Oryzias latipes: one gene and its partners. The protein of the gene in region 1 binds, or shares a complex with, the protein of each later gene. Links are inferred from orthologs where the notes say so. Each region holds a gene or a part of one and is shown in the gene's direction. Other genes may lie near its edges.

Region 1 (3,553 bases):
ACCTCTGTAATTCTGGGGTCCAGCTGAGGCATGGGGCGCCCTGACACCTCCGACATCACCGTCCCCACTTCGGTCTGCTTCTCAGTGATTTTCTCCATGATTATGTCTGCCAGGGTCCTCCTACGAGAAAGAGAAACATGTTAGTAGGGACAGAAGAAACTGGCCTGGTGGTTTCTGTTTGTTGTTGTTGGTTAGTCAGAACTGCCATGTTTCTTGCCTCATTGGTGGGTTTTTATTCATGAACATCTCAATGGCCTTTTCGTCTTCTGGGTCTACAATAATTTCAGCATCACATTCGGTTTCTGCCGCCCCAGAAACTGCTTCTCCCAGTGCGGGCCACTCTTCATCCGAGTCTGCATCCCCAGATTCAGGACCTACAGTTACAGGAGTGTTTAGAACTCACATAATGAAAAGATGCAGATCTAGATGTATGGAATCACCCAACTAACTACAGAAACGAGTAAATGAAAACATTATTACTTCTATTTTTAAGTATTTATTTACTGAAAGTATTTTAATTTGGAGTGTTTACTAAAACCATCATTAGTGAACAGTTAACTTTATTTTTAAGTCATAGCATTAGTGCATCCCTTAGCAAAAAGTAGTCTATTTAAGTAAACTACAAGTATACTGTCTATACTAAAAGTAAAGCAGTAAACTAGAATTTTCTTTTTATATACATTTAAAATTTTCCAATAAAAGTCTGAAAAAGTATTCAGTTACTATATGTCCTACACTACACGTACATGGTCTATACTTGTACACTACTACACACTTATTACTCAAGTATCCTTAAGTAAACTTCAAGTGTACTTGTCTTTGTTAAGGGTAGATGGGTCTGAATTGTGATGAATCTGTGATGCAACTTTACTAAAGTTGGTCATCGTTTTCTTCGGTAAGAAAAACTAGAACAAGAGAGAACCTTTAGAAACCTTAATCAACGGCTTCTGTTTGATCATTTTCTAAACTGAAGCGGATGTCCTGGTTCTGATCCAACATTACCAAGAACAGTGACCGGTGTCGCCTTCTTCTTCTCCGGTACCAGCCCATATTCGGTCTGAAGCTCCTCTTGCTGAATTCGGGCTTGCTGTAGGATTTTCCGCGACAGCCGCTCGTCTACGTAGGTGTCGTCGCTTTCTGGCCGCTGGTCTCTGCTCTTAACCCGGTTGCGGGCTCGGACCGTGTCCGTCTGCAGGATCTGGTCAGCCAGCGCCACGGATCCAGAGCTCTTTTCTCCTCCACCTTTAGATTTCTTCACTTTCGGCATCGCTACAGCTCCAAAAAAATTTACAAGCTAAAGCCTGTCTATGCCTTTTTAGTGTGTAAACACCCAGCTGTTTAGCACGTGCGGACAAACGGCATGCGCGACAGAGGCAGCGGAAATACATTACGTCACATCCGGTTTCATTAAAAATGTTTCGAAACATTATATATGAAAGAACCTATGTTTATTAACTGAGTTAATCAGTTTAACTCAATTCGTCTATGTTCACTTGTATTTTTATTTTATTTTTTCCTTTACCGGAAGTCAATTTGTTTAACCGGAAGTAGTTGCGAAGGAGGCAAAACAAAAATGGGAGTAACTTGGTAAGGAATATTTTGGCTCATTAAAGTGTAATTATTATTTCAACATAGTTTGGTTTCGCTATGTTTATAGGACCTGTCTATTTCAAATGTTTGTTCTTTTGGGGAAAGCGTGCTCCTCCCCTTCATGGATGCGTTGGGTTGTCGCTGCTCAGTCGGGTGTTTTGTCTTTCAGTGTTTGTCAGGTGCCCATAGCGGAGGGCAAGAGTGTGCAGCAGACCGTGGACGTCCTGCAAAAAAAGCTGGAGCAGCTCGGTTCTGTGAAACAAGGCAGCTTCTGCGTGGATTGTGAGACATACCACGCCACGGGAAACGTTGTCGGTAAGCTCGCTACTTTTTCAAGCATCACGCGGGAAACATATTAGTAGTTATTTATTCATGTGGTAATTAGTTGTGGTTGCTTAGACCTTTAAAAAGCAATTAAAAAAAGGTGATTGGCATATGAGCTCCGTTTGTGCCCTTGCATTTAATTGGTAGCATTTTTAACAAGAACATTCAGGGCTTTTGCTAATTCTTCCTTCAGACACATCTGCAGTAAATATGGGACACAATTAAGCATACATAGCCACTTTATCTTATGTGTGTTTGTCAAATTATCTTGAGAATATTTTACAAATTAGATAAGGGTCCTATTAGTTCTACTGGAGTGTGACGACAGATCACCCCTTCAGCTGCACTTTAATGGCTCTGGCCTTTTATGGTAGAAACCATCTCAAAGCCTTACTATAAAACCAAATATTGTTTAAGGTTTTAGACTTTAAAAACCTTTTTTACATCAATAACAGATGTGCCTTTATTTGAATCATGGATGTGGAGTTTATGTATTATTGAGTTGAATGCATCATCCAGTGTTTCCCGTCTGTCACAGGTCAGCCCTCCAAGCTCTTATACGTGATGCATAACTCTGAAACCCCTCTGAGCTGCATGGCCCTATTCGAAGGAGGACCCTACTTAGTAGCTGATGCTAACTTTGACGTCCTCATGTCCAAGTTAAAAAGTCATTTCCAGAACGCCAAGGGACACAAGGTGGAGAGTCGAGGCTCCCGCTACCGATACTGTGACTTTTTGATAAAGGTGGGCACTGTGACGATGAGCTCCAGCGCCAGAGGCATTTCAGTGGAGGTATGGAAATGCAGTTTGTCCCTTTCAGCGGGACGGGTGGACATGATGTGCCCTGTGTGTTTTACTGCAGGTGGAGTACTGCCCCTGTGTGGTTCCTGGGGACTGCTGGAACCTCATGAAGGAGTTCATGCAGTCTTTTCTTGGCACCAGCGTTCCCGAACTTCCATCTGTGTTTGCTGCTAAACCCGAAGGGCTTTTTGCAGCAGCGGACTGTGTTGACACCATGACGCAGTACTTGGAGTTGTTCAACAAACTTCGTAAACTGCAGATCCCAGGGAGTAATGTACGTTAGGTCAGGAAAGCAAACTGGCCTTTTTGTATTTTATTTTCTTTTGGGGGGGGGGGGGGGGGGGGGTTGTATCAAATGCTTGATTATGTTTTTCTGAAACTTTTGAAAACCAACTTCTGGAACATTTATTTTAGGAACTTAGTTGAATGTCTTTGCAATAAAGAAATCAGGTGGAGGTAAGAAACCAGAGCCTTTTTTTAATGTAGCTGATGCATTTTTTAGTTCAGAAAATGTTAGGTGAACTAGAAGGAGCCGCATTTCCAGAAGAAAATTCAGGGTTGAATGCTATATTGTTGAATGAAAATGAACCTTTAAAGGGTAAGAATTGGCACAAAAAAGGAAAGAAATGATCAAAGTTGAACAACAATAAAGTGAAAACAGCACAATAACAAATAGATACGTGTGTGAAAAATGCCAGAGGGATCAAACCAGCGAGCTTCTGCACCAAGGATTCCCCATGGATTTCTATGGAGGCAAAAATCCTGGAATATCTGGAAAAGTTCAAGGATTTGAAGGACTATAAAGCACAAGCCAGTCTCATACTTGATAAATGTCAAT
Region 2 (4,150 bases), on another chromosome or scaffold:
AGTTTTAATGAGCCTGAGGTTTTAACAGCTCCATCACACCTTTTCTATGTTCACCCTCTAGCATTTCCTTTGCTTTGCACTTGCTGTGTTTTCAGAAGACGGACAAGTGTGAGTAATAATCCTTTACATTTTCCACAAATCATAAAGTGACTAATCATTTACTAATCATTTTCCACTAATCATTATTTCTTTATTTGCAGGTGGAAGAAGAACCCTCCATTGTTTATTCCTTAATTGCCTTTAGAACCCCTGCAAAGACCAATGGCCGTGAATTAGCCCACAATGAAACCATTTACAGTGAAATAAAATTCACAAAAAGCAGTTTGGATAGGTTGAGCAGGTAATTGTTGCGATATTTTAGCAGTTCTGAAGTTGCCTTAACATGGATTCTGTTTTGTGAGTTGAAGTAAACTTCACCCTACAAGGTCCAAAATGGAAACCCTTAGAAGGGTTTTTTCCATTGTGTCAGAAAATGAATAACTGCTTGCTAATTATCTTTATGAAATATAGCATTGCTTTGTGTCTGTACCTGATACTGTCAGCAAGTGCTTTGAAAACAGAAAACAAGTTCCTTTAAATTATTCTGAACCATTATTTTTTCTGACACAAATTTTGTTAAATATTTTTTCTTTAAAGGCTTCGGAATCCGTCAAAACACAGTTTTTATATCTTTATTATTTTATGTGTAAAATATGCATCTGATGGAATGTTTGTCATTTACTTTAAAAGGTTAAGCACAAATCTTAAAAAAGTTTGTGAACCTCAATCAGCCAAAAACTATAGCAGCATGTCTGAATTTTAAATGTTTTATTCAATGTTTTAAAAAGAAAATATTTAACAAAAACTAATTGTAAAAATATTGTAATTGTTGTGAAGACAGCATCTGAGTTTTAAAAAAAAGGCCCACAGAGCTAGGCTTTTATTTTTTTATGTGCCAGCAATTACTATTACAACATTTTCGGTATGAAATCTACATATATATTTTTATTATTTTTAAATATGTGCAAGGTTTTCAAATACATTTAGTTACTTATCTGCACTGATAATAGTTTCAATTTTTAGAGCACGTTTTGGTTTGTGAGTGTTTTTGTAAATCAAATGACTTGAAGTTGATTTTTAAAAAAATGTTATTTATGGATTGTATTTTTAAAGTAACCCCTGTTTGGGTTACTGTAATTGATCCTTTTTCTACATTGCTAAAATTTAAGTTCAATAAGTGTATTCAACGTGTACTTATTGTTTTATCATTTGCCTAAATACCTGTTTGCGCGGAAAAAGCTAACACAGAAAGTTGCTTCCATGAATGGTTATATTCCGGGGTTTCAGTAGGTGGCAGTAACGAGCTTTAAACTGGATTGAAAGCGCCTTTTAAAAACAAAAGCCAAGGAAGAACTTGGGCGCCTTTGTTTTCTGATTAGCATCAAATTTTGGTTGTTTTTAGAACGGGTTACAATATATATTTCATTAACACTTTTTTTATTTTTTAAGTTAAGTACGAATGCCTTAAATTACTTTGTTGATGACAGTAACAGCTCAAATCGTGAGTTGGTAATTCCATGTAGGCTAACTGTTAACTGGTACTAGCAGCCGTGTGGATATTAGCTAACCGGTGAAACAGGGGGCCCACCGTGGAAACCAACCACAAACAGCAAAAATATCTTAACTTTAGTCAGTTCTAACGCTGCGCCGAACTCTTTATTCTGCTCAGGTAAACCATCTTACTCTGTAGTGAGAAACGTCTACTGCTTTTGCTAGTTAGCATAAGCCTGCTATTGGTAGTTGTATTTGTTCGCTAATTTAGCTAACAACTGTTTTCTGTTTACTCATTCATTCATTGGTAATGTCACTCACATGTATCATCAAACAACTGCAAATGAAATAGAGTAGTCCAACAACACTTTGCAAAAAGTAGCCTATTTAGTTTACTACATGTATAATTGGCTAGTGGGACGATATACTTGAAGTAAACTTTTAAACACAATCTAGTATTGCTAAATTCAAAACATAAAATGTTCCAATTTAGTCTGAAGAAGTTTTCAGTCAGTTAATACTTCTTTCACAATATACACATGGTCTATCGTACACTTGTACTTATTCTCACGTGTCCTCAATGAAATAAACTTCAAGTGTAGTACTTTTTGCTAAGTGAATGACAATGCCATCATTCACTATTACTTTAAATCAGGAAGAAGATGGAAGCTCCTCCTGTCACAGTTATGCCCGTCACCGGCGGTGCCATCAACATGATGGAATATCTGTTACAAGGTGAGACGATTCAGATATAGAAGGTTCAACCAGAGATATAGAGGCTTGATATATTTACAGATAAAACGGTGTATTTTTCCAGAATACATATATTAGAAGCCAGTATGAAGTTCACTGGCTAAATTATTTGAAAAATAATGTTTACATCTTCATTCTGTTGCTAAAACCAACTTCTATCCATTAATATTAGTCTTTAAAAAAAAACTATTAAGTTGAGCTAATTATTTTTCCATCATGAGTGTTGGTGTAGCATTAAAGAGCAAACCACACTGTCAAGAGTGTGGAAAGAGTGCTCAGTTACTTTCTGTCTTGAAAATAATATATATTTCTAAGGTTTTCCTGTCCTGTTTGTGCTGCACTTTACTGGACACATTTGTATTTAGTAAACTGAAGTATTTAAGATTATATAGATGCATAAAGATTTATGGAAAAATAATCCTCAAGTCAGGAAAGCTTTTTTTAAATTTTTTTATTCATGAAACCTGTTATTCATGTTTTCATCACATCTGAAGTGTTTATTGAAACTGTGTTTGTAAAAAAAAGAGATCTAAAACGAACACTAATTTTAACATTGAACATTTTTTAATTTCATGATGGAGGATTATATGTTTAATATTCATTTTTAAAAAGTTGTATCACAGCAGGAAATAATTATAGTGGGAGTAAAGAACTTACTATATGAGTCTTTAAAGGATATTCTATTTTCTCGTTTTTTTCAGGCAGTGTTTTGGATCAGGCTCTGGAAAGCCTCCTGCATCGCCTGCGTGGTCTCTGTGACAACATGGAACCAGAGACTTTCACCGACCACGAGCTGGTTTACCTTTTGAAAGGCCAGCAAGGCAACCCCTTCATTCTGCGTGCCAGACGCTCCCTCTCCCACCCTACTTCTCCATGGCACCTGCGGTATCTAGGCCAGCCAGAAGTGGGAGACAAGAGCCGCCATGCTCTGGTTCGCAACTGTGTCGATGTAGCTGCCTCTCAAAGCCTTCCGGAGTTCCTCAATGAGATGGGCTTTCGCATGGACCATGAGTTTGTGGCCAGTGGTCACATATTTCGCAAAGGAGCAATGAAAGTTGTGGTTAGCAAGGTTTCACGCATCCTAGTACCAGGGAACACGGAAAATACAGAGCGAATGTCGCTGTCGTATTTAGTGGAACTGAGCATTTTGGCTCCGGCCGGACAGGACACCGTGTCAGAAGACATGCGCAGCTTTGCCGAGCAGCTCAAACCTCTGATTCATCTGGAGAAGATTGACCCAAGCAAGCAGAGACATTAAGCATTAATGGAAAAAAATGTTTTTGTTATTGTTTTCCTTTCCATTTAAATGCTTTTTAATGTGATGAAATACAGATTTACTTTGCTTAAACTGTTACAGTTGTGGTTAATCTGACCTGTCAGAGTATTTTTTTAATTTATTTTTTACTTTTTGTGCCTACTATAAAGAAAATATTATAGTAACAAATAGCTGGAAAATACTTAAATATATTTTAAGTTGACAAACATTTTGCAATGCCTCAGATGGCTTATGTTATTGCTTTAAAAATTTTTTTTTAAATCTTCAATTTCATTTTTTTATATAATAAATGTCCACCAGGGGTCTCTCTTTCCACAAGGATGGTCTTAATTGGAGCAAAGTGAACGCTACCTCTCATCATCTACAGGAGCTCTGGTTGCCATGGAAATAATTAGCTGTGCGATCTGCACATCGTTTACCCCACTCTAATTAGCTTTCTCAATTGCTTAATGATACATAGACCTGTGAAAGCCTTTCTTTCTTCCTTTCCACAAAAGCATTGATTTTCCCTCTCTTCCCCTTTCATTTCTACTGTTAACCCATTAGTATCCTTTCTTTTTTTCATGGGAACTTGAGCTGGGACTATTACAA
Region 3 (4,057 bases), on another chromosome or scaffold:
TGTGTGTTTGTGTATGCACGTATGTGTGTGTTGTGTACATATGTATCTTCCTGTTTTTTACAAACCTGTTGCTAACTCCTTTTACTTGTTGATAATAAAACTTTATCACTCAAACATGTAAAGAGTGTTATTTTATGGTCCACATTCAAATCCTTTAGGTCAGGGGTGCTCATTATGTCGATCACGAAGGATGGAACTGTAGATTGCAGGTCATCAAAAATAAGAAATAAATATCAAAATATATTTTTTAAAAATCTGTCAGTGAATCATCATCCTCGGCAGGAAAGATGTCACTTGATTGACATGCAGAACAGCCAATTGAACGTCCTCTGAAGCATACGTCACTGTGTTTAACTACAGCGAGTGCACTTTCTTATTTCTTTCTTCCTGCTGCACACAAATACATCAAACTCAAGGCCCCAACTGACAGTGTGTTCAGTGAATGTCTCAGGCAACGGAGAGGGATGCAGTGCTAGAGGACAAATCCTCATGGGAGGACAAACCGGACCATAACTGAAGCTGCTGATATCAAGAAGTGCTACCAATGGCTAGAAAGGGCTGGCCTACAGGACAGCACTGAAGCACTCATCCTGGCAGCCCAGGAACAAACCCTGAACACCAGAGCAATGGAGGCTCAGATCTACCACACCAGACAAGACCCAAGGTGTAGGCTGTGCAAAGAGGCGCCTGAAACAATCCAGCACATAACTGCAGGGTGTAAGATGCTGGCAGGAAAAGCACAGCCTAGTAAGATTGTGGAGCGCCACAATCACACATGGGCCACAATCATACATACATACATGGAGCGCCACAATCATTCATACAGCAATCATACGGCCAGATGCTGAACTACAAGATCAGAAATCCTATGAATCAAGTGTGAAACATTTTGATTACCTAAAGTTTTTGCATATTCTCATATTTTTCAGTGTTCAGAGAAAAACATTAACATCAGACTGGATGAAAAATAACAAAACATTTTCCGTTTACTGCTTTTTGATCATTTAATTTCTGTGTTTTTCCAATAAATAACAAAGACTCAAATAAACATGGACGTTTTTTATTCACTGTTCAAATTATTTCTGTTTCATGATGACATTTAATGTTTATTTCTTCAGACTTCAAACACTATATAACCAAAAGTATGATTAACAAGTATTTTTTATTTGTGTTGGGTATTTTCTGTCTCAGTTTTTGTTGTCCGTGTGCTGAACAACAAAGTTTTGTTGCAAAAGAAAAAAAGCCGTAAAGTAGATAGCAGGTGTCGCAAAGTCGGAAGTGGTTTTGCCCGAGTAGTTCACTTACGGCTGATGAAAGCTAAACAAAAGCAGCTGGACTGAAGATTTGTTAAACATTTAAACACATATAAGGATTTTCTGCTCTTTCTGGAAGCCCTGCTCAGTTTGTGGACAGTAAATAGTTACTGTTCGGGTCGATACCATGGAAACAGGTTTGTAGCTAAACCTATTTTTGTTAGCTTTGGTTCTTCTAAGTCTAACTATATGGGAGGATGATGAATGTCTTCATTATTCTTGTGTTTTTATTTGACATTTGAGAAACTGTGTATTTCTAACTTTTGTAAAAGACTTAAAGCTGTGTTGATGCTTTTATTAACCTGAGTTCGTGCGTACAACAAGCCGAAAATTTTTCGTAAATAATAAATTAATAATGTCGGCGATTAACGCGGGGATTTTTTCGCTGTAGTCCGTAAAATAAGTAATATGACATTTATGAGAAAGTTTAAAAAGATAGAATATGAAGCTCGTCCATCTTGACACATTTTTCATAAAGAAGCCAAAGTAAACCCCGACATACTAGTACAGGTCGCTTGAGCAGGAATAAGTAAGATCTTCAGACTGCATATAATTCATAATTTCAAAAACGTTGGGCTAATTTTAGCAAACTGCTAACTCTCTTTAACCAATAAATAAACCAAAGACCGACATAAGGACAACACACTAGTTCACGTGGGTTTAATAAAGCTCTATCAGGTTTGAATAACTTTGTAAATGTGAGATTTTATCAGACATACTACCTTAACTACCCCATTAACTCAATGATTCACCGGGGACAGTGGTCTCCAGCTCCATATCGGTACCACTCTTCCTTTTTTCTGTTAATCAGGTGTTTATGAAGGTTTTATTTTGAAAAACGACGTCCACTGCTCCACATCTGTCTGTGACGCTTGATGTTTGCCTCAGTCAGGCATTTTACCCACCTTCAGCTGCTAACGCACATTACTACAACGCTAAATAAAAACCCTCATTCTATTGAATATTACACAAACAAGCGTCAGGCCCTCTTAAAGGTTTCTCTGGGCAGAAAGCACCGTCAGTGAGGAAAAGGAAGAGATAGACACAACCGGGACACAGGGGTCAACGAATCAGTCACTGGGGGGTTTGGTTGGCCATCAAAGGACTCCAGCGAGGAGGATGTAAATCTCTAGCTCAGCACCAGTTGGACAGAACTGAAGAAACTGCTCGGGTGAGAGGCGAAACGTCTTCAAACCAGAAACTTTGTCCAGTTGAATACTTTTGGAACTTTTCATTTTATCATGACCTGAATGACTGAGATTCCACCCCAACATGGAACCAGGAGTTCTACTCAAAACATAGATTTCTGGTGACAGTTGTTCCCGCACTCACTGTGCGGTGACTGACCCTCTAAGGTTTTCAGGACACTGCTAGTAAAATTGTGTACTGGTTGAACTCACATTTACTTTAGTCAGACGTTTTTGTCGGTCGCATCTTTTTGTTTGGTTGTATTTAGTAGCCGAACCTCAGAGGCTCGTTTGTGAAAATGTAGTCTGACAATAAACCAGTTCTTGCGTCGCGCTTATATAGTTTCTAACTTATCACCCAGTCCACTGGTCTAACACAGGAAATGTGTTTGGGGAAATAAAACTCATTTACAGTGTTAGCATAACACACGAATCATGGAAATATCAGAGCAGCAAAAAAATAATAATAATAATAACTGCAGCAGGTCGTCAGGCCCAAACTGCTTATTGTTTCAGAATTCGCAGTGTTTTTTACTTTTGTGTGATGCTGTCTTTTCTGGTCCAGATGAGCAGGCCCGGCACCGCTTCCAGGCCGAGCTGGAGTTTGTGCAGTGTTTGGCAAATCCGTACTACCTGAACTGTAAGTCTCTTCATCTTTTCTTTAACATTTGTTCTTTAACTTCCCTGAAAAGTGAAGCCAGAAACTACATTCCTTAACTGGAAGTTCGTTTGGTTGGAGGCTTGAAATCCTTCAATAATCTGAAGCCCTGCAAGGCCTCAACACGAATATTCCATGAAAACCTGTTTTTATGACTGCCCAATGAAAAGAAGGAACAAAAAGCTCTGAAAAGCCAAAAATATTACTCCAATTTTCATGTTTTTCCATATTATGTATCACATTAAAGATCAGATTCACCTATTTTACTCATTTAGTTTTTTTTTTTTTTTTTTCCTGACCTTTCTTCATTAAAGACAGAAATGTGTTTGTTTAAACTGATAAATATCCTCACTTCTGTATGTTGCTCAGTGTTGGGGTAATGGATTACAAAGTAACAAATTACTGTAATTTAATTACTTTTGTCAGTAACGGTAGAACATAACAAATTACAGCTCATATTCTGTAATGAATTACAGTTACTGGACTATAGAAACCCTTGTTACTTTGTTACTTAGATTTTGCAGGCTTTGACTTTTTCTCTGTTAATTGAAATGAAACAGAGACTAATTATAAAAAAAGACGGAATTACTGGCACATAGCAGCATGGGGGATCGGTCAAAGTACAGACATCCCCTCATTGCTGCAGTCGCTTTGCTTTCCAAACTGGCTCAAAGATGAAAAAGACAAAAAGAGATCCTGCAAGGAGTCTTGTTATCCCTGAGGAGCAGCAGGTGAGCAGCAGAGCAGAGACTCGTGTACTGATGTGTCAGTAGCAAGTGAAACAACCTTAAAGTCGGCTCTTTGGTGTGAAAGACACGACCCGGATCCTTCCTGGGAGTTGTTTTTTTTTTTAAAGTATTAATTCAGCCTTTCTTACTTTATTGTTAACTGTAAGCTAC
Region 4 (3,985 bases), on another chromosome or scaffold:
CAGCTGAAGACGGTGGTGGTGGAAACAGGCGATGTGGAAAACTACTTCTAGAGTTTCCGTTTTACACTCATTTCAGAGCAATAAACGAAACTGTGCAGACCTGTTGAATGTGGATGTCCTATTTGAACTTTTCTGGAGTGTCTTTTATTAACTCTTAAGTGTGTATGAACAGCTGGCATGATTCTTCAGGCTAATTTATTTTGTCACGTTGGACATTTGCTCATGCAAACATTATCTGAACTCTGATCCTGAAGTAAAAATAGCAGTTGCATATAGAGTTTACACTGCTAGAAACATTGATCCATCTTCTAAACCACCTTTATTCATGTATATAAAAAAAAAGTATGCTGGGTGTCCTAGAGCCCACCCAGCTACTGAAAGGCAAAGGTGGGATACACCCTGGGCAGTTCACCAGACCACTGCTGGGTCAAATGGTGTTAGGATTCAGTCTAAGAGACACTTTTGAGGTCTTAGGTCAGAGAGCTCTTCTCCAAGGTTGCACCAAACAATCAGGTCTCTGTTTTTATAAGGCTTGTATTTTAGTCTGATGCCTGGACCGGTGAATGTTAATAATAAAGCCGAACTAAATAGATAATGTTGATGACTCATAAACTTGAAAAGAACTGATTTTGTAATGGTTGGCCAAGATTCTGGGACATTTGGAGCTTCCACTAAAGATAACCAGAACAATATACAGCTTGTTACAGAAGACCCATGATCACACACAGAAACAAAAACACTAAACATATCATTTGTTTTTAATAAATACCAGGAAGACTAAATTGTTTCTGCTCTGAGCTTTTATCTCTGTCTCCCTGTAAGCTGCACCTTCTCTGTGCTTCCTTCACAACTGTCTGCAGGACTCATCCTCTGATTCTGCTCTCAGCTCTTCAATTTCACTTTGGTTGCTGCAATTTCTCATTTTTTTTTAGTCAACACCATCGTTGATTCTCTATTTTAAAAAAGTCAGTATAGACTGGATTAATGACTCTGACGGGACAGTTCTAGTACATTATTTTGGCCTGGAACAGAGAATTTGGACGAAAGAAAACAATATTAAAGGGTGCAAAACCCTCAGAAACAAATATTTATTGAACAATAAATAAAAAAAGAAAAGAAAAAAACAAGAGGATGGGTGGTATGGGTACCTGCTGTAGCCACAAGGGAGCACAAACACACCGTCAGATTTGACCAGAGAAGAAGAAGCATCTCTTTTTTTTGGAAAGCGCAAAGCGGAAGTACAACCTAGAAGACTTCCGGGTCGCTGACAGATCAACAATGCAAGTGAGTCTGAAATAATTTCACTCGGTTGTCTGTGATTCTTCTGACCTACTGTGGACGATACTTTGGACTGATGCTAGCTCGGGCGCTGTGTAATCTGTCCGGGCCTCTCTGCTCGTCCTTTTTGTGTTTCAGCAGCGGGAGGAGAAGCAGCTGGAGACGGCGGTGGAGTCTCTCATCTCCCGGGTGGCTCACGTTAAAAACGCCCTGAGCAGCTTCATCTACAAGCTGGAGAATGAGTACGAACGTCTGACATGGTGGGTCCTCCTGCCCTTATGACGTAACGTATCCCCCCTCCTTTGATTATGATAAATAAAAGCCTGGAAACATGCGAAGTTAACAAGTGAGTGCATATCGTGCGTGTGCATGTGTGCGCGAGCGCACTTAGACTATAAATCTTTGTTGATCCCACAAAAGGGGAAATTACCTTGTTGTTGCCATAGCTCCAATAAAACATCAGATATATATTAATAACACTAAAAATACACTTAAACAATTAACAGCAATCATTTTTGTCCAATGTCTATAAGGCATTGCAGAGTCTAATAGCTGACGGGAAGAAAGATCTGGGAAAGTGCTCCTTCCTGCAACAAGGTGTAAAGGAGCTGCTCAGTACACCCATACAAAGGATGATGATGATGATGAAGAAGAGGAGTGTCCATGATGGAGTTCAGTTTCTGTAACATTTTACTCTCACCCACCACAGTTACCGATTCTAGGAGACATCCCAGAACGTAGCCGGATCTCCGCTCCAGTTTGTTGATCCTCTTCTTGTTCCTGTTTGTGCATTCACACCTCCAGCAGCTCAAACCATAGAAGAGGGCAGACGCAACAATGCCATCATTAAAAAGAGTCCTGAAAACTCAGGAGAACCCCAGTCTCCTCAGTATCTCCTGCGATCTGGGATTGCTTCTCCAGCGGCATGTTGTTGTTGCCAAGCAACAACAGCTGACCGTGTAGACGATGTACCCACAGACCGCTTCAGACCCAGAAAGTGGGGGATAAATAGTCCAAAGGACTAGCAGGCACGCCACTGCACTTGTGTAAAAAACAACAATTCTGTCAAAAAACAGAATAATAATTAGAGAAAAAAAAAAACGAAACTAAAGAAAAACAAGCAAGCCAACACAGATCTATGGTAACTGCCAGCTTGTTGTAGCATTGGTGTCTGTATTTGCGTGCGTGTATTTGTACGTGTGCATGCGTCTTTTAGAAAGTGTTTGTGTCTCCATGTTTACCTGCAAAAGTTTTCTCACCCCCCTCTCAAATCTTTCCTGTCCCTCAGGCCATCTGTTTTGGACAACTTTGCTCTCCTCTCGGGTCAGCTGAACACCATCAACAAGCTGCTGAGGAACGAGAAGACCCCAGCTTTCCGGAGTCAGGTCATCATCCCGCTGCTCCTGTCTCCTGACCGGGATGAGGATTTAGCTGTGAGTGTCGCCGCAACATTTGCAGGCTGTCCTGTGTGGTGAAAGACCTCTAACTATCCTGTCCACCCCCACACCCCCCTCAGAAACTCACAGAGCAACGCGTCCCGGTGTTCAGTCACGAGATTGTGCCAGATCACTTGAGGACCAAGCCTGACCCCGAGGTGGAAGAGCAGGAGAAGCAGCTGAGTGCAGAGGCGGTCAGGATTGGTCCTGAGTTGGCTCAGGTCAGGAGGCGCATGGATGTTTGTTATCTGTTGTCTGTGCTCAGAAGGTGTTTAGTGTTTGTCTGTGCTAATCCACAGAAGCATATCCAGGCTCTGAACAAGCTGTGTTCCAACCTTCTGGAGAAGCTGAACAACCCTCGAGAGGACAGAGAGGGAGATGCTTCTGGTGGGTCGCTCGTTTGTGTAAATCCCTTGTTGTCCTTATTGTAGAAAGAGCTGAGTGTGTTTATCTTCCAGCAGTGCGGCAGAACAAAGCGTCCTTCAACCCCACAGACACCAGTGCCTTGGTAGCAGCTGTGGCTTTTGGGAAGGGACTCTCCAAGTGTAGACCTCCTGGCCCTGTGGCCCCTGGCCACCCAGGGCAGGGGCCCATGATGAGCGGAGGTCCAACGTTACAGCAGGTCACTATTGGTGGCGGGTCAAACCAGCAAGCAGGTATGGGAGGGCCTGGGGCCCCCCAGCAGCAAGGTCAGCCAGGTAGGAAACTGTACTGGTAAAATGTATTAAGTTTTTTGTATTGGAGACACATTTTTATTTCTTTATTTTTGTCCAGGAAAAATGCCAAGCAGCATCAAGACAAACATCAAGTCTGCATCGGGTTCCATTCACCCTTACAACCGGTGATCTCCCCCGCCCGCCTCTTTACTGCTCAGATGCAGGAACATCAGTCTGTTACTGGGTCCACCTTCACGTCCCCCTTTGAAGCTCTCTATACAGCCACTAGGTGGCAGCATGGGATCCTTTATGGCTAAATCTTAACAGCACAATGACATGTTTTCAATAAAACCCAGAAAAGCAGCTTGGTTTGTGTGGCCTTTATTATACAAGTGTCTTTCTCTTGTTTCTGCACTGAAACGACGTGAAAAAACCTGAGCTCCGCTCTTCTGAGTCTGTGTTGCAGCGCTGAGCCTGATGGGGGTGGACGTTGTGTCACAACTTTTAAGGGAGAACGCGAGGAACTATTGCTGTTGACAATGGTGGTGGTGGGGGTTTTATTCCTGTCTGAGTGTTGGCCCTCTGTCTGCTCTGATCCTGTCTGGCTGTATGACC
Region 5 (4,037 bases), on another chromosome or scaffold:
CTTTTTTACTTCTATTTGAAGTTTGTTGGAATAAATTGACTAAAGCTAAGAATTTTAATATAGTCGTCTTTTGTGTGCTTTCACTTGTTCAAAAATAAACAATACTGTTAATATTAATAACATTATTTATAGTAAATGTGAAATACTTTGTATTATAAATGTTTATTATGTTGTAGTTCTGCAGCTTTAACTGAGAAAGTAACTTGAAAGTGAAACAGACGTTATGTAATGAACCACAATGATGATACAATAATATTGTAAGATGGGGGATCACTTTTGAATAACAATAACAAGTAACATAATAAAGGTTGGAAGTGAGAAAAGCCAGAATCAGCACATGTCCTAATCTCTGAAATGAAGCCGTGAGAAAAGACACAGAGCTGCAGCCACAGTCCCTCTGATCACCCCTGTGGCAGATGGAGAGCTGTCACCACGCCTCCTCAACAGAGCCCTCAGTGTAAGGTAAAGGAGAAAAGATCATTCTCTCCAGACACACCTCCACACAAACACGCAACTTCATCAGTCCTCTAACACTTGTCCACCTAATATGCACTGATCATCTCTTTCGGTCTTACATAACTCTTGTCCCAGGACACAGACCTCACTCTAGTCAGTACATCATCTCCAGTAACAAGCAGAAAGAAGCTCTTTGTTGGCCCTGACTAATACAAGATTGGTCTGATGGAGATTGATGCAGAGAAAGGGTTCATTTTATTTTTGCAAAACAAATTTTTGTGCACACAAAAAAAAACAAAAATCGAACAAAGAACAAAAGCTCAGAAGCTTTTTTTTATTTTAGATTTTTAAATTAAAAGTGCACTGTGGGTTCCATAAATGTAAATTATTACTACATCATATTGTTATTTACTTATTCCTGTCTTCTCACTGTAAACGACTGGCCCGGGACCAGAGACGCTAATTTAAAATGACAATAAAGATTCCTGATTCCTTATTATTCTAATTTAATCATTGTGTTCATTTTGAAAATATATTTTTCATTATTCTTGCTATTGGGTAGTGATTTTCCAACTTTTTAAAAAAGAAAGAAAAAAGCTGAAATAAGCTTTTTTTTTTTTACTGCAAACTACATTTTAGAGTCCCATTCAATTTCGGATCTACTTCATAAGTTCTGTGGTTAACAGCGACATCTTGTGGTAGTAGACAGATTCTGCAGTCGAAGGTTGAGGCTTAAAAGCGAAAAACATCATTATCCAATCATCGAAAAGAATACTGGTGGAGTGTCGGGAGTAGCCAATGAGCGGCGGTGTTTTTCACAACAGCAATGGGGGTATCCTGCATTGTGGAGCTGTGAAACTAAAAAACAACCACATCTTGCGCTTTAACAAAACGAGAGCAGGTAGATATGAATTAAGTCAATAATGAAACTTTGAGAGGTATGTTCTGGCCTTTTCCGGGGACGATTCTGAGTTTGTTCGCGAAACAAGAGACGTTTAGTTTTTTTCTGTTAGCTAATATTGAGAAGGTATGCTAACAGCGAATCTAACAGCTGCATTGACTTGACCCAGTGTTTATATGTTAAAACGTGTGGCAATTTTGCTATTTTTTTGACATAAGTGAGTTAGCTATTCTCTAACAGATACGTGTGTTCGCTCCTTTCCAGCATGAAGGTGGTTAATTTGAAGCAGGCTATCCTGCAGGCGTGGAAAGAAAGGTGGACAGACTACCAATGGGCTGTCAACATCAAGAAAAACTTTCCAAAGGGAGCAACATGGGACTACCTTAACCTCGCAGGTTGTTGATTGTGATAAACAACGTCGGCGTTTCATCCTATAACATGTATGCATTTAATTTTCATTATTTTCTTTGTGTTTTCCAGAAGCTTTGATGGAGCAGGCAATGATTGGTCCATCCCCTAACCCACTCATCTTATCCTACCTTAAATATGCTATAAGTTCACAGGTTGGAAAGGAACTTTTATTTTGAAAACTGAACACACACATATATATACACATAAATGTGTATATACATAAATGTGTGTATATATATATATTTTTAAATAATGACTGTTAATGTTTCACTTTTCTAGATGGTGTCCTATGCTAGTGTGCTCACAGCCATCAGCAAGGTGTGTTTGATCATAAAAAGGACAGAAGATTCGCATTTAAATGGATCTCTGCTGCATTTGTAACCAATGTGTTTTGTTTATAGTTTGACGATTTCTCGCGGGACCTCTGTGTGAAGTCATTGCTGGACATAATAGACATGTTCTGCTGTCGCCTAAGGTCTGAATACTTCTGAGTAAACACCACTATTCTCTCCTTGTGACTTTCTCTTGTACATTTTTGTTATTTTATTTATTTATTTTTTGGACAGCAAATTTGTCAGGGTTTTAAATCTTCAATCTGCCTCACTTTAACTTGGAATTTTCAACAATTTTTATTGATATGTTTTTTTTTTAATTAAATCTTAACTGATTTACTTGTGTGCCAAGCCTTGTCTTATTGTTATTTCCCCAATACTTCACTTGCATATTGTATTTTATCTTATATTTGTACTATAGCTTTAATTGTTAATACTGTACATTGTTGTCTTCTCACTCAGCTGCCATGGCAAAGCAGAGGAATGCATTGGGTTGTGTCGGGCTTTGCTTGGGGTGGTGGTCTGGCTGCTGCAGGCCTGTGCGTGGTACTGCGAGAACCTGAGAGAGCTCGGACCGGTACCCAGCATAGAGGCTATTCTCAGAACATGTCAGGAGAGGCTTCATACCCTGATGAAAAGCACCAAGAACAGAGCTCTGGTTCATATCGCCCGATTAGAAGATCAAGGTTTGGGAATAAAATATTGAAAGACAATATTGAAATATGAATGTTATGGAAGAGAATGTAGGCATTTGTGCACACAAAGGTTATGGTCTTTGTTTGCATGTTCACCATTTGTAAGGTTTGATGTGAAATTCCTCTTCCAAAGGGTCCTGGAACAATGTGGAGCAAGCAGTGATTAAAGTTACGGAAGGTCTTGGAAATGTACCAAACCAAACATTAAGGACTTCACTGGAAGAAAGTTTGTTTTTAGTAAAAAGGTGAAGGTTCCTCAGCCACTAAGCTCTTACTCAAAAGTGTTTTAAAACATTAAAAAAAGTTAATTTTTCTTGGGATGACTCTTGACTCTCCCCAGTATTCCCAGCATGCTCTCTGTGCAGTGTGAGCTTCCAGTGCGTGCCTCCTTCCCATCAGTTCATGCCTTCATCATGCTGGAGGCAACCATGAATTTAATCGGAGAGATCCAGCCTTTGGTGGAGCAGTTAATGATGATCAAGAGAATGCAGGTGAGCTTGAAATTCATGACAAAATATTTCTATAATTTCTGTGATCTTCAGCCCTAAGTCAGAAATAGTCATATTCTTTTTGCAAATATTTTGCAGGTGAATTACCGGTAGTTTGAACATTGCAATTATGACTATGTAAAATATGTTAATTTGTAAAACTGTATTAAGAATTTACACATTTTTGCTCCTTCATGTTGACATAATCAGACCCTCTGAGCCTGAAGAGAACCATTTTTTCTTAATTTACTGTGCAATTACATTAAATTACATTCATATTTAGCTTTTTTAGCTTTGCTTTATACTGAAGTTTTTTATTTGTAATGAATAATTTACCTGCAAATGAAAGTGTCATCTCTCTATCTATCTAACTATCTATCTATCTATCTATCTATCTATCTATCTATCTATCTATCTATCTATCTATCTATCTATCTATCTCTTTATCTCTCTATCTATGACATAACAGAAAGAAGGTTCATGGTTAAATCATGTACGCTGAGCAAAACAATTATGTAACAAACATATTTGGGGTAAAAGTATTTTAAGCCATTTTTCTTCTAATTTTACCTCACAGTAGCATATTGAGAAAATTTCTCTTTGCAAATTAAAATAATTTGATTACATGAAAATTTAATTTAACCGTTGTTTCACAGTAATGGAACTTGTGTACAAAATGTTAAAAAATATTTATTTGCAACAACACATATCCATGAAAGATTTGCAATAAACTTTACATTAATGACATAATAAA
Region 6 (4,020 bases), on another chromosome or scaffold:
AACACTCTGTGCAAGCAATCACACACTGATGTGCACACAAATACACACACGTATCATCACGTATGTTGTGTTAAACTCAATAAAGGTTTTTTTTTTAACATGAACCTTTGATGTACTATTGATCAAATTTTGCATAAAAATGTAAGCTTTTTGTCAGAATTGCTTGGTTGTTAAACAAAAATGTTTTAGAAAACAATTTAAATTTTCATATTAAATCAAAAGCTAAAAACAAAAATAACACTGTTAATCAATACCTAAGAAGCCATAGCTGGGGTTTTTTTTCGGAATTTTTAAATTTTCTTTTTTCTTCATTTAAAAGAAACTCTCCGCTTGTATCAAAATTGTAGTAAAAAAGTACTACTGAAGGAAAACTTAAAAATGAAAAAAATGCAATTTTTAAAAATGTAAAATGCATGATAAGTTATATCCTACAAACACTAAGAATGTCAAGGTTTCATGAATCACTAAATGCAGAAAACAGCAAAAGAGAAAAGTCTGGTTTCTAAGAAAAATGTATCCAAATACAATATGGAACCTTTGATGTACTTTTCATGAGGCTATGTTTTCTTTGGGGTTAGAAAGATTCTTATTTTTCTTTTCAATTTTGGTTCAAATACGATGTTCTTGTTTTGTTTTGCACACTCCGAAGCACAACCTTTGCCCTCTGCTAAATATTCACTAGGCCTATGACAACGTTTATAAAATAAAATGTTACATGTCATTCTTATTTAGTGTCAGGGTCAAGATGAAGTCAGCTTACTTATAATAGTTTGACCATTTTTATTTAAGTGTAAAAAAAAGAAAAAGAATGAATATTAGGTGTTGCTAATTGACTAAGTAGAAAATGAAACATAAAATTCAAAGTTAGACACTTTCACCTGCCCTACTGTATTTAGGGCGTAAAAACAAATGATAGATACATTTTTAAAATTAGAGTCCCCCTCCCCCCCCTTTTTTATGGTTACAGATCTGAACTTTTTTTGCTTGGGTTTGATTTCTTAAGCAGCTTATTTTAAGAACATATTTTAAGATTTATAGGCCTACCAGGATCAGAACCTGAACTCACTATATTAAACAAACAAAAACTAACAAAAAGTTTAAAACAATTAATACAGGAAAGAGATTAGTTTTGAATAAAACCCACTAATTATAAGGTTAATAATGAAATACTTTAAAGGCTTGTCGACGCAACCAATCAACGTCGAGTTTGTTTCCGGGTCACTGTCCAATCCTGGCATCTGAAACTCAACCGGGAAATGAATAAAGCGAAGCTAGTCAGGAGCTAACTGGCTAGAAGAATTTTCATCTAAACTCAACCAATTGAGTCGTTAAACAGGTTTGTACAATAATCAGTTATAAATGTAACCCTTTTATTCGTGTTACAGACCTGTTTCTTTGACTGTAGAGACTGTATTATTCAGCAGATGCAGGAAACGACGTTTGTTGTTAGCCAAACATCAACGGAGCGGTTTTATTAATTAGGTTTTTGTAATAACTTTTACTGTTAGTTAGTATATACGTGGGCTTTTATGTGGTATCTAAATGCACTACGGCGGAATAATTCGAGATTTGTTACGTTAGGTTTGACTTTGACATAGTTCTCAAAATGAATCGTGATGATCATGTGTGTGTCTGTTGTCGACTTGTCCGCCTTCTTACTTAGAAAACAGGTTTAGCTATGTGATGTGTGAACATTATCTGTTGTTGTACTTCTTGTGAGCACGTGTAAAATCCTAAAAAAAACGCGTGGGAAAAAATACTTTTATTGGTTGGAGCGGTTAACGACTCGTTTGGCTACGGTAAACTCTGATCGTGGCAATCTTCAAGTTAAAACATGCACCGACCATATGACATATCCTTCTCTGATTTGAATGTTGTTTTCTTTCCTTCAATAACAATGATACAAAGTGTTGAAAACAGACATCAACAAATATGCATTTTGTAAAAGCTGTGTTTTTTTTAATGTATAGAATGTGCATGTATGCACTTCTCTTTACTAAAATCCACAATTTGACTTGTTTTTGACCCTCATTTGTTCTCTTCTTACATCAGGATGGCTTTTCTTTAAACATTTTTTTAAACTCTGCAGTTTTTTTTTTATTTATTTTTTAATTTTGAATATAAAATCTACTAATTCAGTTGTATTTGCTAAATTGATAGCAGAACAATTATAAGGTTATGTGCACAACAAATAAGCATTTTGAAAAAATGGTGTTAAATCACACAGAAAAAAATCATATTCTTTAACAAGTACAATCTGATAGGGGGGATAGTGATAGATAATATAAATTTAAACATGTTTCAATTGAATAAAAACTGTTTTCTTATAGATAAAGGAATTATAATAATTTGGATTTTTAGTTACCGGTAAGTAGCACAGACAATTTGTTTCAATTAAAAAAACATGAGGATGTAAAGAAGTTTAGGAATCAATCAAAAATCTGTTTAATTGTCCCACAGGTAACTATAATGCAATGGAAGCTGTCACATCTTTATGCCATTTTCCACAGCATTTAGAAATGGCTTTATTGATTAATTATTTTTGGTATTGTAAAACTGATTATGGAAACCTGTATAAGTCTTTTCTCACAATTTTAAAAAAATGTTTCACTTAAAAATTCCTCTACATTTTCTTTAATCTTTTGAAAAATATATTGTAAAACAATGTATTATTGAATAAGTATCTGTAACAGAAACTATAGTAAACCGTGTTAAAATAATTATAACGTTTGTGGATGCATATACAAAACTAGTAATATTAGGCTAAGTGTCAACATTGTACATCTGTTCCTGTGTCTGTTGGTTAATCTGCATTTAATACTTATCTACTCTAACCTAAAAACATGTATATGTTTAAGCTCCACAGATGCATGTTCTTCTTGGTTGTCGCTCTTGCCTCACAGCAAGAAGGCCCCCAGTTCAAGTCCCAGCTGGGGGACCTGAAACAGAATCACCACTGGGGGACCTTTCTCTGTGGCGTTTGCGTGATCCCCTGGTTTTTCTCCAGGGACTCCAGCTCCCTCCCACCGTCCAAAAACAAGCTTCATAAGTTAATTGGTTACTAAATTCTCCCTAGGTGTGAGTGTGCATGGGTGTGTGAACGTGGCTCTGCTACAGACTGGCGAACTGTCCATGATGTCCCCTGCCTTTGCTGAGATAGGCTCCGGCAGCCCCGTGACCCTGAAAGGGACAAAAACGGGTTTAGAAAATGAATAAATAAGGATATTTTTTCTTGAAAGTTATTATTTTGGCACATTAAAAAGGCATAGTTTTGACAAAGTGCTATCATGACTGTGACTTTACTGACTGGAGAAAGCGTTTATGCAAGAGGTAGCTGATGCCATCACCCAGAACATATGAGGGGGTCATTAAAGATTGTTTTACTTCATATAAGTGAGACCCGTGAACTCGCCACAACAGTGGGATCTTATCAGGTGCATGACTGTGTATTTGTTGTTTGGATTCTTTCTAACTTGTAGTTCTATTTATTTTATAATTTTTAGGTCTGCAAAATGGGTGAACCACAGCAGGTCAGCGCACTGCCTCCACCGCCCATGCAGTACATCAAGGAGTATACAGATGAAAACATTCGCAAAGGTCTGGTGCCAAAGCCGCCTCCGCCCATCAGAGACAGCTACATGATGTTTGGCAATCAGTTTCAGTGCGACGACCTTATTATTCGGCCTCTGGAGAGCCAAGGCATCGAGAGGCTGCATCCTATGCAGTTTGACCACAAACGGGAGCTCAAGAAGCTGAACATGTCCATTCTCGTAAACTTTCTGGACCTTTTAGACATCCTTATCAAAAGTCCTGGTAATATTAAACGCGAAGAGAAGATGGAGGACATAAAGCTTTTGTTTGTTCACATGCATCATCTGATCAACGAGTACAGGCCGCACCAAGCCAGGGAGACTCTGAGGGTGATGATGGAGGTGCAGAAGAGGCAGAGGTTGGAGACGGCGGAGAGATTCCAAAAACACCTGGAGAGAGTCGTGGAGATGATCCAAGGGTGTCTTGCTT
Region 7 (4,215 bases), on another chromosome or scaffold:
GATTCTTGAGGCATGATATTTCAGGAGCTTTGATCAAGCCTCTTGACCTACATAGTTAAAAATGTGTTCTTCTGGTCTGTCAGTGCGTAGCTGCAACAAAAAATAGCTTAAATCCTGTTGGATGGCTTCGTTGTTTTTGCAGAAGATCTACAGTTAAAGACCAAACACCATGCCAAAAGTGTGTACCTGTGTGTGTGTGTGTGTGGGGGGGGGGGGGTCTTTTAAAAAGTGACTTCTTTCTGAATCACCTTATTTTCAGACCAGCCTTGTCTTTGTGAACATTAGGTTTCAAATGAGAAACAACTACACAGATATGCTGACCTGAAGATTATTCACAACCACAAAAACAGAAGTATTTTTTTAAAAAACGTTTTAAATTAAAAAAAAAAAACAGTAATGAAGCCTCTAAAATTTTTAAAAGCTTTCACTTGGATATTTTGGGGGAAATGTTCATTCTTGAAGACAAACATATATGGTTCAAATTCCTATGAAGTCAGTATGCAGTTTTCAGATGCAATGGCAAAAATGCATTTCATTTCCATCTTTGAATCCCTCTTATTTTGACAATCAGGAAGTGGCCTGGTTGCAAAAAAGCTTCACTATTATCTCACTGTTGGCAGCCTCAACAAAACAAACTTGCTTTGGATGTGTGTGTTCATGCTGAGTCAAAGTCAGAGAAACTTAGACTACCAAATAGTTCCTTAGCACAGCTATAGTGCACTGCTACCCAGGGGATGGGTCAATGCACACAAATAATGAGATTTTATCCTGAATTTAACATTAACACTTTGACCCATAACAAAATAATAATAAAATAAATAAAAAATCAGGAAGTCAGAGTAATCTTAGTATTAATAAACATTGTTGCAATATGTTGCCTAGTTTTGTCTTTGCTTTTTGTATTGTATCAGAACAACTTTTATCATGGAAAATACATTCTTAAAAAAATGTATGCAAAGAGATAAATAGGCAAATAAACGTACTACATATTTAGTTCAAGAGAAAAAGTTGCTTTTAAATCGTTTACGTAAATTACTAATTACTAAAATATTGTAATAATTCCTTTTTTTTACCCTGTAGACATTTTACATCCTTTATGCACTAAAATAACTGCAGCTTGTCCAGTATTTTTAAAATAGTAATCATTGTTTAGATCATTTTGCAAAAACTTTAGAACACAGACTGAAATAACTTTTGCAAAATTTGGCTGTTTTCATCAACATTTTACATCTGTTTATTTAGTAATTTAAGTAAAACAATTTACAAAAAATATTATTACTTTTCTATGAATTATTATTATCCGTGGTTCCAAAAATAATTTAAGATTTTCCTCCTTGGAATAGGCAAAACGTACTTTTTAGCATGATATTCCTTTTGCCACCACTAGGTGACAGTAACTTACAATTTGAGGTAAAGTCTTTATTACGTCATATCCTTTCTGCTTTAGAAACAGGTATGGCGGCGGCAGCAGAGAAGTCAACAAAAGAGCGGCTACTTTCTGTGTTGGATGATTTGGAGGTGTTATCGCGGTAAAGGAAACAGCTCATATTTTGTTTTCCGTGTTGTAGTTAGGTAGCGACACAGTAGGCGGGTTTACGGCTTGGTCTGCACAGTCCTGATTCGAGTCCAGAAGTCCAGTGGAGAGTAAAGGCTCATGAGGCTTAGTTCACGCTTTGAAATTAAAGCCCCCCCCCCGGGGGGGCTTTAAATGGCCTCCGTTGTGCCGCGTACTCCACAGCTCCTCGTGCTGAATCCTCCATGTCTGCTCTTCTGTTTCAGGGAGCTGATCGAGATGCTGGCTCTGGCCAGAAACCAGAAAGTTCCTCAGCCAGGAGAGGACACACAGGTGAAGGACACAACTTTTTTATTCTAGTTCAACACTCCAAAAGAGCCACTCCAAAGAAAATTGTGTTTTTAAAATGTTCTTGTGGCATTTTAAAGATGGTAAAAGACATTTACAAAAAAAAGTATGCTTAAATTGTATTTCTGATTATTTCTTTAGTTAAATAGTTGTCATCAGGAGCAGATCATCTAAAAACATGAAAACAACAGGCTTGGCCTCAGCCATCAGGGCGGCCTCTCTCTTGATATTCCAGCATTTATTTGGATATGGCCATGTTTAAAAAAAATGAAGAAAAAAAACATTTCATGTTTTGGGTTTGAGCTGTGCAGCACTGTCACCTCTAGCCATTTGAAATGATGCTGGTCTCCATGGAAGCAAAGGCCACAGTCGACGTCTGATCAGTGCTGCTTCTTGTGTTTATTGGAGAGCCTGTTTTGTCTTCAGATCCTGGAGCTTCTGGTGCAGAGGGACAAGGAATTCCAAGAGCTGATGGAGGTGGCCCAGCAGCAGGGAAAGATTCATCAGGAGATGCAACTGTTGGAAAAGGAAGTGGAGAAGAGAGACAGTGACATCCAGCAGCTGCAGAAACAGCTGAAGGAGGCAGAGCACATCCTGGTGGGTTGAGGTTGTGTGTATTTTTGCTTCATCTGATACTGCTGTAAGGTGATGTAGTTACATTCACAGGTGCATTAGCAGAAATCCTCATTCTTCTAGCACATAGGCAGATTAAGCCAGTCTAATGCATTCTCCATATAGGCTGCTGTAAGCAGATCTATGGCTGTGCTGGCTTTAGCATTTGTTGAGTAAAAGTATAAAAACTCTAAAAGGCTAAATATCTTTTGCTGTAAAAAATTAACTCAATGTGTTGTAAATCTGGCAGTTTACTACAACTGTAAAAAAAAAAAAAAAAACCTGTGACAAATAATTTTTTTTGTAACATATATGTTGAGAGCTAAGTCAATTAAATAATATAGTTCAAAGTAATCTAAAGATTGCTTAGTCATCTGGGTCATTACAAATTTCACCACTGTCTGAAAGTGTAACAGTTTAAAGCAGTGCTTTTCAAATAGTGGGGTGCGCCCCCCCGATGCGATGCCGGGGGGGGGGGCGCGCTATAGTGGCGGTTTTAGGCACAGGTTATACAGACAATTGTCCGGTGCTCATATTTAACGTGGGGGCGGTGATGACAGCGGCTCAGTGCTTGGGGAAAAAATCTGCGCCTCTATTCGGTTCCTATTGTCTGTAAAATCACAGAGTTTGTGACAACCTGAAACCTGTGAATTCCTGTCCCTGTAGCTGCGCGCTCCCGTCTCCTGTCACACGCGGCTGCGTGTGTGAGAACGAAAGGGGAGGGGTAGTGGGCTCAGTCTGCCAGGTGAAACGGGGCACGCGGAGAACTGCAAGCCCTGTTGCCCAACACTAGGATCATCCCATGCCTTTTGAGGACTCAGCTAATGCTAATAATGTCATTCTTTATCAACTATTGTAGACATTTTGATGATGCTTCTTTTCCAGCACCTAAAACAGAAAGGTGTAGGAATGACGGGGTCACTGGATCCAGATCTAAGATCACACTTGGAAAGCAGCTTCTGTCAATCTAAACTGACTTTTTCTCCTTCAAGGCCACTGCAGTTTACCAGGCCAAGGAGAAACTTGCTTCCATTGAAAAGGCTAAGAAAGGTGAGCAAACACACTTGTCTTTCAGTCTGTGGATTTGGATGTATCATTTTGTGTCTGGTAACATCCAGATACTCAAGCAGCTGTGTGACTTCAGCGTTGACACTCAAAGATTTTAGTTTAAGGTTTTCGTTAAAGAATTCATTCCTTCTTCCATTTTAGGTAGCATCTTCATCTCTGCCAAAAAAAATAATTACTCTCTTGTGCCATCTTTTTGTATCGACTCAAGATTTGGCATAAAAAAACATTGGTTCTCATTAAATGACCTATATCATGCAAAATCAATTTTATTTTTAGCTTTTTATGTATTATATTTGTTAATTCCTCTTGAAAAACGACCCCAGAAGAGTATTTTGATCCTTTAATGCATTTCTGAGTTTTCCTCTAAAAACCTGCTCTCTGAGCACCAGCCCCTCCCAATCCCCAAAAACAGGCGGGTTTTCATATTGCAACAAAAATGAGCTGCTAAGAAAACCGGTATTTCATTTAAAAATTGATGGGGCGGCAGGTGCTTATGCAGGTGCTTAGGCAGTTTAGCAGATCGTCCAATGGTCGAAGAGTCGGCGGTTTGATCCCTGGTCCCACCACTCAACTGTCGTTGTGTCCTTGGGCAAGACACTTCACCCTCCTTGCCTCCAGTGCAGCTCCACTGCTGTGTGAATGTGTATGAATGTCCTGGTGATGGTCAGAGGGAC

The links.
Region 2: med20 (region 1) and med18 share a complex: the UniProt entries of both Homo sapiens proteins name them as parts of the mediator complex. The link is inferred for Oryzias latipes from reciprocal best matches to the Homo sapiens genes MED20 and MED18.
Region 3: med20 (region 1) and med31 share a complex: the UniProt entries of both Homo sapiens proteins name them as parts of the mediator complex. The link is inferred for Oryzias latipes from reciprocal best matches to the Homo sapiens genes MED20 and MED31.
Region 4: med20 (region 1) and med8 share a complex: the UniProt entries of both Homo sapiens proteins name them as parts of the mediator complex. The link is inferred for Oryzias latipes from reciprocal best matches to the Homo sapiens genes MED20 and MED8.
Region 5: med20 (region 1) and med24 share a complex: the UniProt entries of both Homo sapiens proteins name them as parts of the mediator complex. The link is inferred for Oryzias latipes from reciprocal best matches to the Homo sapiens genes MED20 and MED24.
Region 6: med20 (region 1) and med7 share a complex: the UniProt entries of both Homo sapiens proteins name them as parts of the mediator complex. The link is inferred for Oryzias latipes from reciprocal best matches to the Homo sapiens genes MED20 and MED7.
Region 7: med20 (region 1) and med4 share a complex: the UniProt entries of both Homo sapiens proteins name them as parts of the mediator complex. The link is inferred for Oryzias latipes from reciprocal best matches to the Homo sapiens genes MED20 and MED4.

What each region holds. Positions count from the first base shown.
Region 1 is NC_019863.2:2,278,108-2,281,660, forward strand, and holds med20 (mediator of RNA polymerase II transcription subunit 20), read left to right. Parts: upstream 1-1,463; 5' UTR 1,464-1,573; coding exon 1,574-1,587; intron 1,588-1,759; coding exon 1,760-1,905; intron 1,906-2,452; coding exon 2,453-2,706; intron 2,707-2,776; coding exon 2,777-2,998; 3' UTR 2,999-3,053; downstream 3,054-3,553. Other genes in the region: bysl (bystin), read right to left, coding at 1-120, 218-374, 1,003-1,267. UniProt on the Homo sapiens protein: Component of the Mediator complex, a coactivator involved in the regulated transcription of nearly all RNA polymerase II-dependent genes.
Region 2 is NC_019874.2:22,764,196-22,768,345, reverse strand, and holds med18 (mediator of RNA polymerase II transcription subunit 18), read left to right. Parts: upstream 1-1,351; 5' UTR 1,352-1,708; intron 1,709-2,185; 5' UTR 2,186-2,192; coding exon 2,193-2,265; intron 2,266-2,984; coding exon 2,985-3,541; 3' UTR 3,542-3,650; downstream 3,651-4,150. UniProt on the Homo sapiens protein: Component of the Mediator complex, a coactivator involved in the regulated transcription of nearly all RNA polymerase II-dependent genes.
Region 3 is NC_019872.2:23,702,723-23,706,779, forward strand, and holds the start of med31 (mediator of RNA polymerase II transcription subunit 31), read left to right. Parts: upstream 1-1,257; 5' UTR 1,258-1,440; coding exon 1,441-1,450; intron 1,451-3,065; coding exon 3,066-3,140; intron 3,141-4,057. UniProt on the Homo sapiens protein: Component of the Mediator complex, a coactivator involved in the regulated transcription of nearly all RNA polymerase II-dependent genes.
Region 4 is NC_019862.2:24,741,084-24,745,068, forward strand, and holds med8 (mediator of RNA polymerase II transcription subunit 8), read left to right. Parts: upstream 1-1,185; 5' UTR 1,186-1,278; coding exon 1,279-1,284; intron 1,285-1,416; coding exon 1,417-1,538; intron 1,539-2,566; coding exon 2,567-2,711; intron 2,712-2,794; coding exon 2,795-2,935; intron 2,936-3,013; coding exon 3,014-3,101; intron 3,102-3,172; coding exon 3,173-3,412; intron 3,413-3,488; coding exon 3,489-3,559; 3' UTR 3,560-3,733; downstream 3,734-3,985. UniProt on the Homo sapiens protein: Component of the Mediator complex, a coactivator involved in the regulated transcription of nearly all RNA polymerase II-dependent genes.
Region 5 is NC_019877.2:9,580,059-9,584,095, forward strand, and holds the start of med24 (mediator of RNA polymerase II transcription subunit 24), read left to right. Parts: upstream 1-1,237; 5' UTR 1,238-1,357; intron 1,358-1,363; exon of another isoform or gene 1,364-1,483; intron 1,484-1,621; 5' UTR 1,622-1,622; coding exon 1,623-1,752; intron 1,753-1,837; coding exon 1,838-1,920; intron 1,921-2,047; coding exon 2,048-2,086; intron 2,087-2,169; coding exon 2,170-2,243; intron 2,244-2,562; coding exon 2,563-2,786; intron 2,787-2,928; coding exon 2,929-3,040; intron 3,041-3,135; coding exon 3,136-3,286; intron 3,287-4,037. UniProt on the Homo sapiens protein: Component of the Mediator complex, a coactivator involved in the regulated transcription of nearly all RNA polymerase II-dependent genes.
Region 6 is NC_019868.2:21,185,906-21,189,925, reverse strand, and holds the start of med7 (mediator of RNA polymerase II transcription subunit 7), read left to right. Parts: upstream 1-1,220; 5' UTR 1,221-1,336; intron 1,337-3,503; 5' UTR 3,504-3,512; coding exon 3,513-4,020. UniProt on the Homo sapiens protein: Component of the Mediator complex, a coactivator involved in the regulated transcription of nearly all RNA polymerase II-dependent genes.
Region 7 is NC_019879.2:14,006,626-14,010,840, reverse strand, and holds the start of med4 (mediator of RNA polymerase II transcription subunit 4), read left to right. Parts: upstream 1-1,415; 5' UTR 1,416-1,455; coding exon 1,456-1,529; intron 1,530-1,779; coding exon 1,780-1,846; intron 1,847-2,287; coding exon 2,288-2,458; intron 2,459-3,465; coding exon 3,466-3,523; intron 3,524-4,215. UniProt on the Homo sapiens protein: Component of the Mediator complex, a coactivator involved in the regulated transcription of nearly all RNA polymerase II-dependent genes.